Linked DNA regions of Xenopus tropicalis. The protein of the gene in region 2 interacts with the protein of the main gene of each other region in a pairwise test. Links are inferred from orthologs where the notes say so. Each region holds a gene or a part of one and is shown on either strand. Other genes may lie near its edges.

Region 1 (4,183 bases), on a different chromosome or scaffold from region 2:
ACCCTCTACATACAAAAAGTTGAACAGCAATGCTACATCCTATCATAAACACTGAAATTATTTAGTATGTTAGATAAAATAGCACCCAACTGGATGACTTGGAGAAGAGGGAGGAACATGCAGGTATCTTTGTTTTAAAGAGGGCACAGGAAGAAACTGATATCTCCCAAAGCCCAAAGGAGCAGAGTGGCATTAGTTCTGCTAAAGCAATACTACCTGCTACTTTCTGTTGCACTTATTTTAGTAGTAAGGTGCAGGGATAACTGTTATGGTCAACATCATCCCTGCAAGACAGATTGACATGACCAGTTTCTTTGAGTGCCCAAGCACTTACCACCTCTCTCTCAGGGGAGCTTGGTCTTGATCCAGGTAGTCCATTCTTTGTTGGAGTTTTTGCCTCTTTCTTTGGAAATTGAATCTTCTTAAGATCCAAACGATCATGAGTAACCCACTCATCTAATCGCTTGTTAACTGGGGGGATTAATAGAGTAAAAAAGTAAAAAAAAGAGACTGAAATAATTTTACAAGAGAAAAAAATGCTAGCAATAAGAATTAGAAGAGGTTAAAAAATTTTAACTTCTGTGTTTACGTGACAAAAAGTCACATGAATTTTAGGATTCAGATTTGGTTCCACCAGGACTGTGGATTCGCCAAATCTGAATCTTGCCGAAAAAGGCTGAATCCCGAACCAAATCCTGGATTCGGTGCATCCCTACATTATAATATGCAAGCTAATTGATAACAGAATATATGGCATTTTCTAAAAAAAGACATGGACTAGCTATAGCAGAGTAAATGCTACAGACTGACAAAGTGGGCCTGATTTGGCTGGCCAATCAAGAAGCCTGAAAGAAAGTCTACAGAAGGGCTCTGACGACATAGGTGTCTGTGAATCCAACATACAGGAATCTGTGTGCCTGTACATACACAGTTGCCTGTGCAGAGGTCTGAAATATTGCTGCAATAGGTATGTCACTGGTATGGAGGGAGTGTCTTTTATACACTCTTTTGTCACAACTGTCACACCTGTATTGAATAAAAATTTGTTTCTGCATGTGTAAATTGCAAGAGGGCAACTGGCAGCTGATCTAAGCCTGCTGGTGAGCAGCACAATCTTGAATGCAAAAGAGTCAGAAGTGCTGTGTATATGAGGATATAAAGGATATAAACAATAAGCTGCTTTGCTGTTATATGTACAAATGCAGCTTCATCAGCCCCTAGCCCAGCCCGGCTCAATTCCTTTACTTCCCCTTTGCACATGTTTGCTGTTGAGCCTCATGACATGCCACAGCAAATCAGCTTTCACTATGCTCTGTCACTCACACAGAGATTCTGGAGGGTGGCGAATGGGAGGCTGCTTCAATAATTAGCCATAACTTTGTAACAGTGCAACATTTCTAAATGCTATACATTGTCAAAATGTTTGTCTAGATTTTATATTTTCAATATTCTAAAAACATTTTTCATGATTGCTCCCCTTTAAGCAGCTCAAGCCTAGTTTCAGTACATATCATTATTTAAGCCATGTATCCTGCATATTACTATATGTAATATGCAGGATATATGTAATACTAAGTGAAACATTAAACTCCATATTTAAATATAAACTTACAGTCTATATAATGCACATAGAATAGTTTCTTCCCTGTAAGTTCCTTGATGCTCAGAATTTCAGCAAGTGCTAGAGAGGATTAAACAGAGACAAAAGAAGTGGTTACAAAAACGGTATATTTTATTATGAATTACATTTTATTTCTTTGCTTCTTCACAAACCATCTGAATGAAAATTCACCATATAAATAAAAAACACACAGAATTCTACACTCTTGTAAACATAAACAAGTACAGGTATGGGATCCATTTTCCGGAAACCAGTTATCCAGAAAGCTCCGAATTACGGAAAGCCCATCTCCCATAGATTCTGTTTTAATCAAATAATGTAGAATTTTAAAATTGATTTCCTATTTCTCTGTAATAATAAAACAGTACCTTATATTTGATCTGTACTAAGATATAATTAATCCTTATTGGCGGCAAAACAGTCCTATTGGGTTTAATGAATGTTTTTGTGATTTTTTTCTTACGGTATGAAGAACCAAATTATGGAAAAACCCCTTATCCGAAATACCCTTGGTCCCGAGCATTCTGGATAATGGGTCCTATACCTGTACAAGCTATATTTCTGCAATATTTATTACAGTGCGTTTCAAGCTATGTAGTACTTACGCCATTCAACTTCATTATCTTGATTCTTGCGAAGTACAGGCAATCGGCAACCCTCCACAATCTCTGCCTGAAAATCAGTCACGGATAAATGAGAAACGGGCAACTTAACAGTGTATTATTTTAATGGCTGTATAATGTAGTGGCAAATACTTGTTCCTGACAGTTTATGTCCCCTTTAAATAATAAAGTACAACATAAAAGGTGTCAATGTGTGAGATACAATAACTAACAGCACATCTAAAAGGAGTAATAATGAGGAAATAAATCCTAGACAGATCAGCTGAAAAACAAATATAGAAAACCAAATGTAATATGGCTCAAGATGCAGTAATTTGTCTGAGGAAATCCTGACATAACATGGTCATTAATGGGGAATATAAATGGGGAACCTTACAAGCAATTGGAATTTGCATTCACAGCAGCTGATATACGGCCATGCAAGAAGCGACAGCCAATGTTTGGTCAATATGATTAAATGTTTCTATGGCCTCATAATACAGAGAGGTTCTCTTGACATAAAAGAAATGGATAACGCAAAATTCCAGCCCCTTTTCGTATCCTACGCTTTGCATGTAACTATATTCTGTGGAAATATCACCTACAATTGCGCATACATAGCGATAAGAGCTAAACAATAAATCTTACCTCCGCCATGATTTTGCTTTAAAGCGACTTCCTTCTTTCCAGCCTCGCAGCCGCCTCCCCCTTCCTTGACAACCGTATCGAAGGGCAAAGAAGTCGCGCCGGAATAAGCATAGCATTTTTACGAGCCTCTAAAACTCACCTTTGTCCTTGATTTGGAACAGGTTATGAAATTTTAAAGAAATATATTTTTTGTAATAACTGGAGCATACTGGACAAATATAAATATAGTATTAATTACCAGGCATTCGCCTGGGCAGCAATAGCAAAAAGGCGGTAATTGTTTCCCCTTTTTCGATTTGACACGCACCATGCGTTCCAGTGATAGCGATCCGCCCAAAACACTTCCGTAAACGGAGTTACGCATGTGTGTAATAGTAAAAACAGTGTAGTATACAGAGGTTGGTTGCGAATGTGTGTGAAACATTTATTCCCATCAAAGGGGACTCTAAAGGGATGTGGGTCCCAGTAAATTCTGGTTATGCCAATGCCTTTGTTTCTTTTCCTTGATGTGTGTTGTATAAGCAATGGCTAGTGAGAAATGACCTATGCTGTATGTAATGGAAATAAATTACGTTATTGATCATCTGGAACCACAATAGCTAAGGCAGAAGATTAACTTCTGTAACTTTAACACAAATATATAAAATTAATTTCTGATAAGCAGTGAAGTAACAGGTAAGATCAAATGGGCATTGTTCTAATATGCTCTGCTTTACTGTCACCTCAGCTCATGGACTGACAATATACTCTATTTATTGTTGTATATATAAACGTAAGTGAAAGCTGCTTAGTAGCAACAGGCAAAGACACAAGGACCCGGAGGTATAACAACAATAACCCAGTGGTTGCTTGGGAATCAAGAAATGTACAGGCCAGGCAAGGGTTCTGGATAATGCATAATTTCTATCTGTGAGAAACTGACATCTTCCTCAAAGTTTTAATGCCTAAAAAAACATTTTCTTGTGGGACCCAGTGTATAATGAATATAATGAATTTGAAACAACAACATATTAAAGAAATGCTCAGCTTTTTCAGAGCAGATCTATAATCGGACTTTAGAAACATGCTAAAAAGGGCTCAAAACAGAATTAAGTGTTTTTTCTTTTCTAGTATAACTGTTATTGCATTTAATTGCAAGGCTTTGTAAAGGTAACATTTTAAAGCAGAAGCACTGATGAGGTTAAAAGTCCTGCTGCATGCATAGGGTTGATCACCTAATTCCTATCCACTCCTAAACATAAAAAAAGACTATATAAAGAATGTTGTTATGCAACAGAAATTTTCTAACCTGTCCAACTAAACGACCAATTGC
Region 2 (4,355 bases):
TTTTAGTTTAGGATTACCCAGTAGCACATACTACAAAAAAGTAAGTTAAGTTATGAAAACTTGCACAAAGCAGGGTTTTTATGTACAAGCTTGTTCACACTATTTTTAGAGAGACCTACATTGTTTGGGGGGGGTATAATTTCCATTAAGGTCACTCATACAGGGTGAGGGGGGAGACAGTTTGCTTTAGGCTCTATGTCCCAAGCTGAATAAGCCCCACTGCACTTACCATCAGTCCCTCCAGGATGCCAAAGTTGTCATTGATGACCTTTGCAAGAGGAGCCAGGCAGTTGGTTGTGCAGGATGCGTTGCTGCGGGCAAAGCAGGGGAAAAGGTAAACTAAGCATCACTCCCTTATTCCATCAGAGTAAAGAGGCCAGCCCATATAGGGAGGACACATTACTGCTTGTATTTGGGGCAAGGCCCTGTAAAGGCAGGCCCAGGGCTGGGAAGGCAGAGCCACTTTGCCAGTTGAAGCTAGCCAGCTTATGTAGAACAGTAATTGCCTGTGAGACTTACAGCATTAACATTCCTGAGCTAAAGAAAGTGGCAGAGAATGGGCAGCCTACATCAATGCCTGCCTACAGAGGCCTAAGCACTAGCCAATTACTGAGAGGTTCCATCAAGTACAGAATGGTTTGGCCAAGCAGCAAACCTAGAACAGGCTGCAATTTTATTATGGGCAGTAGAGGGAGCCCCTGCCTGATCAGTATTTGTATAGACAAATATCCTGATAAAAAAAGGTTTAAGGATTTACAGCCTTCAGGCTTAGAGTTTTACATGGTTGTTATAGTAAACAAGCCCTTATTAGATTACAGAAGCTGCAAACCATGAGCTATTGAGAACTAAAGAGTTAACCCAGTAATACAGAAGCTTGCAGACAGCCTGTAGCATTGTGGTAGTTCGCTCCCCCTTTAAAGGAACGCCCATTTTTACCCCACACTTACCTGACAACGTGAAGAGAGTTATCATATTTGTCATGGTTCACCCCAACAACAAACATGGGGGCATCAGCTGAGGGGGCAGAGATAATGACACGCTTGGCACCTCCCTTCAAGTGCAACTGCAGGTAAAAATTAAAAAAAAAAAAGTCCAGGGTGAATTCTAGATATAGAAAGCCAAATGTTATGGGGGGGGGGGGTGTAACTACTTACACCGGCCTTCTCTTTGGTTGTGAAGACTCCAGTAGATTCCACCACATACACTGCACCAGCATCGCCCCACTTAATGTTGGAGGGGTCACGCCTGGGGAGAGGAGAGAACTGTAAACATCCCCCCTGTGATTAGATTCTGCTGCAGGAACCCAGTCTAGAACCAGGCCAGGACTGAGCCACAACCTCACTTACTCTTGGAAGACGGTGACTGCCTTGCCATTGATAACCAGCTTGCCATTCTCAACACACACTGTTCCCTTGAATCGGCCGTGGGTGGAGTCATATTTGAACATGTAAGCCTGCGGAGAGTGGGAGGGGTTAATTCCCGAGCATTTTATACTCCAGAACACAAAAATGCAGATGAACGGAGCCACCTACCATGTAGTCCAAGTCAATGAAGGGGTCATTGATTGCAACGACTTCACATTTGCCGCTTAAAACAGCAGCGCGGGTCACCAGGCGCCCGATGCGGCCAAATCTTAAAAAGAAAAAATGATTTCTATCGTTAGATGTTTATGCGCTTAACCCCTTGTGCCACTGGCAAGCAGTAAGAAGATAAAGCCTTGCATCATAAGTGATGCGACGTCACAGCTAGATGTTAAAGGGGAAGTTTAGCCAATGCACTGAAACCACAATGCAACAGCTTAGTCCTTTGATCCCTATATGTTAAACTACAATTCCCATAACCCTCCATAGAATCAAGGCATGCTGGTTCCCCTCATTGGTTGGCTTGGGGAACCCCCAAGCCAACCAATGTTTGTCCACAGTGCACTGGCAATTGCCGACTCTTGCTGGGCAGTGTTGCCTGGTGCAATTGGTTGATCAGCATAGAAGTAATGGGGTGCACTGCTACCCCCTCTTTTTAAGCAGTTAGGGTGGGAAGGGCACCCTACATAGCTGTCATTATAGTGAATAGCAATAAACAGGGGCCAGTTACATAGAGAATACAGAGACCTAGATCAAATGGATCCCACTATTCTAAATGGCACAAGGGGGGGGCACATGATTTAGGCAATCTGTCACTAAGAAATATGCAAACTTAATGTACTTTGGTTTACTTGCCCTTTAAAAAAAAGGTCTGTGCCGCCATTAGCACAACACCTGCTGACACAGAAATCTCCACTGACCCAGACTCAGTTGAGCCAGCCTGGGGGGGGGGGGGCAGTTTATCCAAGCACTGCTCACGCAGCACAACCTGAATAATGGCTGTTATTACAAGCAATAATCAGTCTGCCTGCCACTGCCCTGTTATTACAGGCAATAATCACACAGCCTGCCTGTTGCGACTCCTGACACTGCCCTGCATGCTTCGAGGCACAATACGAGTGACTGGCTGCACATTCAGGGCTGAACTTTGCTCGGGGTGAAGTTCAACAGTGAAGTTCAGCGACGCGTAATGAGGACAAACAGGAGGGTGTGTAGTAAGGCTGAGAGATGAGTGGCCAGAGTGACGGGAGCAGCCTCCATTGTGGGGCAGTACTGGATCCGAGTCCTGGCAGAGACGTGCAGGGCAGAATGATAATGTCCCTGGCGTGGGTTACAGCAGCTGGCATCAACACCTCTATTAATAGGAGCCCTACTTAGCCATGCCAGGGGGGGGCATCTTAGTGTCCCACTTTAATGAGAGAAGTCTCTAGAAGGTTCACGAGAGCCCAGTCAGACTCTGTGCTGTGAGGATTATGGTCACTAACCAGAATAAAACAGCCAGGGGACTGTGCCTACGTGCGGCTGCCACCAGGGAGCAGGACGTGACTCAGCTTCCCCACACTTGTGCAATTACTCCTTATTCTGCAGCAGCGAGGGGAGGGGATTCACCCAAGGTGCCGTGCATCAGCCCCCCAGGTACAGCTCATCAATAGGACACTGACAGTGCAAGGGTGACCCTGGCCCAGGATACACTGTGACCTTGGGGTTGTCCTTGAGAGACATCAGCAGCCAGACACTGGGGACACCCCCATGCGCATTACTGTACCCCCCTCCTGGCAGAAGGTGGAGCAATGGGGAGCCGCAGCGGATGGAGAGGAGGGGTTGGGGTGTGAGGTGGGGAGCAGTGACTCAGTGGGACGTGAGGAAGCTTCACACTCCGCATGGTTCTGGCAGGGGAGGGGTTAAGGAGCAGCAGCCATTTTGAAAGAATAATCGGCCTGGACCATTAACCATTTATGAAAGGTCTGTAGCTTCATTACTTATAACCCCTCAACTGCCAGAGCCAAGGGGCATCTTACACTGGCCAATCGCTAAACCGTGCAGAGAACACTATCCCATCGGCCTTTAATCTGCCAAGCCATTAACCCCCCCCCAGCTGTTTGTCTGGGTCCATTACCCCCTTATACCCCAGCATCTCCCCCCACTCACCTGCATATTACCCCCTTAAGCCCCAGCACCCACCCCCAATGAAGTTATTAACCCCTTAACTTACCCATTGATTCCAATCTTGACAGTCATTTTGGTGTCACTTGGTTTAGTTATCAACCCCTAAAGGCAAGAAAGGAAATTAGTGGGGGGGGGGGGAACAAGAGGAGGGTACCCCGTGCCCAAGTCACTCTCCATCCCATCTATTGGGCACATCCACCCACCCCTCTGTGCCCCCAACAACCTACCTTTAATATTAACCCCCACACCACTGCACCTTGAATTGGTCCCCCTGCAGCTAAATCCCACCCAAAGGCACCCATATAGCCCATACCCACCCACTAGAGGGCAGGAAGTGCCCCATTTCACCCAGTGTCCAACCCAAATCATTAATACACAGACTCCTGATTACCCAAGGTTCCCACTTCCCTATATCTACCAGAACCCCATTACTCATCCCACCCTAAAGCCTCCCCAATCTAAGCACAGGCAGCCCTTACACCATCCCATCCTTAGCCACTAATACAGTAACCCCATTACTCACAAACACACTACATTGGAAAAGTACCAGTAGCACAGAACTACAACTCCCATCACTGTCAGTTGACACCGACATTAGTACCTTTAGCAACTGCAAACGAAACCCCCTAGGAGAGCATATAGTAGGAGCTATACCCAAGCCTACCCTGCCGAGCCACACCCCCAACCTAGGCTCCACTCCTCCCGCACTCACCTCTCGTTTCTGTGCCCTGTTGCAGAGTGACGAACGGATTGCCAGTGCGCCTTTATATACCCGGCAAAGCGGGACAATGTAACCCCGCCCACCAACAATCAGTGACAAATCGTGGC
Region 3 (3,649 bases), on a different chromosome or scaffold from region 2:
TTCATAGTTATAGACTGGCAGACAAAGAACCTACCTTCTCCATACTTGTCTGTGAACTGGAAAGCCTGTACTAGTCTTAGAGTCTCATCAACAGAGCGCCCAACAGGTAAGTCATTAATTGTTATCTGTCGCAGTATGCCTTTTTCATCGATAATAAAGAGACCTCTGTCATAAAAAAAAAAAGAATACAAGTATTACAGTTATTTTGTTTCTTCTATTGCATTTGCACCACAATCTTGACTGGATCTTCTCCCGATATTCTCACCTATGGTGGTTGATATCAGGCCAATTGGATCGAATTACAATGACGGACATAGGCGCCATTGGACAAGGACGGCATCAATGAGCCGATCCGGTCTCAGATCCGACAAGGAAATCAAACCTGTCCAATCGGGGAGCCCCAGACATGGGCAGATAAGCTGCTGAATCAGTCTAAAGGACTCAAATCAGCAGCTTATATCTGCTAGTGTATGGCCTAACCGATTTTCTGTGATAAACATCTTTTTAATTATCTTTTGCACTATAGTGTTAACAGAACTACAACTACCAGCACTCTTCTATTAGTTACAAAGGTTTTATGCACCTACTGTGGTATGTATATTGATTTTTTCAGTAACTTCTTTACTATACTTTAATTGTACATAAAACTCCATTTAACTTAGCTTTTAGGGCTGTGTATTCCAAACTGTGGGGCTCAGCCTTAAGGCCAGTTATGGTGAGAAGTGAGAAAAATGGCCATTTGCTCTCCTTACCAACAGTTGGGCTGTCAATAGAGGTTTGTGTAAGGAATTATTGTGTTTGTGAACATGTCACCTGGTACATTATGGCCTTTTTTCTAGGCTTTCCCTATACTGAAACCTACCTATTGCAGTCTGTCTCCCAGGTTCTGCTAATTATACCCAGCTACTTATTTTCAGAGACCTACCAGCAAAGACTGCCTATATATATAGGCCTTGCATATTAACCTTGCAAATTCTTGGCAAGTCTACTTCCTGCTGTTTGTTCTGCCTCCACTAGGTGGAGGCACTGCGCTAAAATCCCAGTTCCCAGTACCTTTCACTATTGCAAGGGGGACCAAATTTCCTGTTTAAGTATACAGCCCAACAGAAGTGAGTGTGCCAAGAAAGGGTTACGCTTGCCTTTGTTTTAATAAAGTGTTTGCCAAAATATGTCTCTACCAGATGCCCCTGAGACCCCACTGTGGGCCTCTGGTGGCATTTTCATATTATGAATTAGTTGATTGTGAGAGTTTAAACTTATAAAAGATTTACATATCTATTAGGGTAATGGCACACAGGGGCACTTTAAACATTATATTTTAGTAGCCCATAGACCTGATACATATCCAGACTTCTGTTGTCTGGATAGCACTTATATATGTTTTTTCTGGTCAATTTCCATTCAAGTTTTTAGGGAGGATGGTTTAAGGCACTTTAGTGTTTTGGGTTTGGCCTACTAAAAAAAACAGAGTGCCCAAAGTGGCTAAATTAGCCCCATGTGCCATTATCTACTACATTACTTATGGAGCAAGGTCAAACAGCAGTCCAGTCCAGTCTTACTGGATAGAATAGTTTAAATAAAAAAAGTTAAAAACCAAATGGGAGACCATACAAACTTACATAAATATATTTTAACTGAGTGACAGAGAGCAGAATACTAGCAGTTAATGTTACCTAAATGAAACTCCCTCTTTCTCTTCAAAAACACCATAGTCCTTAGCGATAGTGTGCTGAACATCTGAGACAAGTGGTATGTTCATTTTGCCCAAACCACCTTCCTTGCGGGGTTGGCTAATCCTGTGAAGGACACATTAGCTATGTTAAGCTTGTTAAAAAACATCATTATGAAAATGCTACAGGAGAGATCAGATGACTCATTTATGAAACAATGGATGAAAACATACCAGGCTAAGTGACAGAAATGAGAGTCCCCTGATGCGCCAATCACTTCACAGTTAAGTTTCTTAAATTCCTCAACCCGGTCACTAAAAGCTATAATCTCAGTGGGGCACACAAATGTGAAATCCAGAGGGTAAAAGAAGAATACAACATACTTTCCTGTGGGTGCAGAAAGAAAGATGTACCAGGATTAAAAATTATATATTAACACTGCTCTGAACAAAGAAAAGTATACCACTTTTCATAGAATGCTAGTAACCTGCAATGGACATAAGTCTTGTCTAACATTTACAGACATAAGGCCTTAGCCAAAAGGGAAGCAGACTAATCAGCTTAACCCAAAGGGGTGTTTATAGAAAATTTGATATTAGAGCAGCAAAGAATACAATAGATGAAATGATGAGCAGGGTATGAAGGGGCAGTTGTGCAGGATGTGCTGCAATTGATCACAACTGGGTCTCATCATATCCTTCCTGTGGCTGGTCAAAGAACCAGTCAAGCACAAATGTACTAACAAATATTATCCACTTGTTTTAGGGGAACTAAAGCTCAACTAAAGATATAGGCTAGAAATATTGTACATTATGTTTTGCACTTCTGTACTAGCCCAAGGCAGCCAAGGCCCTTTATCAGGGAAGATCTGTTTCTAAAGATGCCCCAGTAGCTCCCCATCTTCTTTTCTGATGATTCACTGCACATGCTCTGTGTCGCTGTAAGATACTGAGCTTAGGAACCGACAGACAATATACTGTACATATAGAATATAACTGTAACAGTATATGGCTGATTAGTAATTAATTTAGATTTGCATAACATGGCAGCTCTGAATCCAGTGCAATTAGCATCAACATTTTATAATCAGATCTTCAGCATCAGTTTATATGACAAACAAACATCATTTTGCTTGATAACTTGCAACAAACCCTAAGCTTAGCTTCTCAACAGCTGCCCAGAGCACACTGAGCATGTGCAATGTCCGGGACAGTTCTAACAGAATCCAAGACGAGGAGCTCCTGTGGGAACTGTAAAGACCTATACAGGATCATTACTACTATAGAGATGCTGAAACTTTTGTCTAGTGCAGTCAGTTAAGTATATAAAATTTCACAGTTCTAGCCATCTTCATCTTTAGTTCTCATTTTTATTACCAAATCAGGAAAGCAAAGTTCCAAAAACACCCGTAGTGATAATTTTTAAAGCTCAAAGAATCTCTACAACACAAATAAAATCTGTTCTGTTCACAACTAACTAAAATAGAATCTTACCAAATGAATTGCCTAGAAATGTCAATTTAAGCAACATCTGACAACCTTCTATGACAATACAGTACTTTTGTTCACACAGCAGGCCCCAACCATTTTTGATACGTTAAAAAAAAAAAAAAAAATATTTACACACCCCACACACCCCAACAGATTAGCTAAAATGTCAAACCTTTGTAATCTGAAACTTTAAGGTCTTTGAATTGTCCATCTGGCATCACAGCCTTCGCTGTGAAGTCTGGTGCAGGATGTCCAATTTTTGCATTTCCGGAAGACATTGTAGAGGTCTAGAAAAAGGCTGCGTGGGGGGAGACAAAAAAAAACAAAACAAAAAATGAAATAGGTAGAAATGTTTTCTCCTACAAATATTCAAGAGTTTTTACAAAACTGATATTTGTACAGTCATAGTATGCAACAAATTCAACTTTTGGAGCACTAAAGTTTGATGTTACATAGTTAAGTTGGGATGAAATAAAACCATCAATTTCA

Evidence for each region.
Region 1: the proteins of gapdh (region 2) and kat5 interact in binary tests that used the Homo sapiens proteins (3 or more experiments, as listed by UniProt). The link is inferred for Xenopus tropicalis from reciprocal best matches to the Homo sapiens genes GAPDH and KAT5.
Region 3: the proteins of gapdh (region 2) and prdx1 interact in a two-hybrid assay, tested with the Homo sapiens proteins (2 studies listed by BioGRID and IntAct, with this or other methods). The link is inferred for Xenopus tropicalis from reciprocal best matches to the Homo sapiens genes GAPDH and PRDX1.

Annotation. Positions count from the first base shown.
Region 1 is NC_030680.2:37,908,660-37,912,842, reverse strand, and holds the start of kat5 (histone acetyltransferase KAT5), read right to left. Parts: upstream 2,889-4,183; 5' UTR 2,881-2,888; coding exon 2,872-2,880; intron 2,294-2,871; coding exon 2,227-2,293; intron 1,682-2,226; coding exon 1,613-1,681; intron 472-1,612; coding exon 335-471; intron 1-334. UniProt on the Homo sapiens protein: Catalytic subunit of the NuA4 histone acetyltransferase complex, a multiprotein complex involved in transcriptional activation of select genes principally by acetylation of nucleosomal histones H2A and H4.
Region 2 is NC_030683.2:10,005,978-10,010,332, reverse strand, and holds the start of gapdh (glyceraldehyde-3-phosphate dehydrogenase), read right to left. Parts: upstream 2,819-4,355; 5' UTR 2,771-2,818; intron 1,633-2,770; coding exon of another isoform or gene 1,536-1,632; coding exon 1,533-1,535; intron 1,454-1,532; coding exon 1,347-1,453; intron 1,246-1,346; coding exon 1,155-1,245; intron 1,064-1,154; coding exon 948-1,063; intron 312-947; coding exon 230-311; intron 1-229. UniProt on the Homo sapiens protein: Has both glyceraldehyde-3-phosphate dehydrogenase and nitrosylase activities, thereby playing a role in glycolysis and nuclear functions, respectively.
Region 3 is NC_030680.2:90,381,667-90,385,315, reverse strand, and holds part of prdx1 (peroxiredoxin-1), read right to left. Parts: intron 3,459-3,649; 5' UTR 3,439-3,458; coding exon 3,333-3,438; intron 2,058-3,332; coding exon 1,904-2,057; intron 1,797-1,903; coding exon 1,674-1,796; intron 166-1,673; coding exon 35-165; intron 1-34. UniProt on the Homo sapiens protein: Thiol-specific peroxidase that catalyzes the reduction of hydrogen peroxide and organic hydroperoxides to water and alcohols, respectively.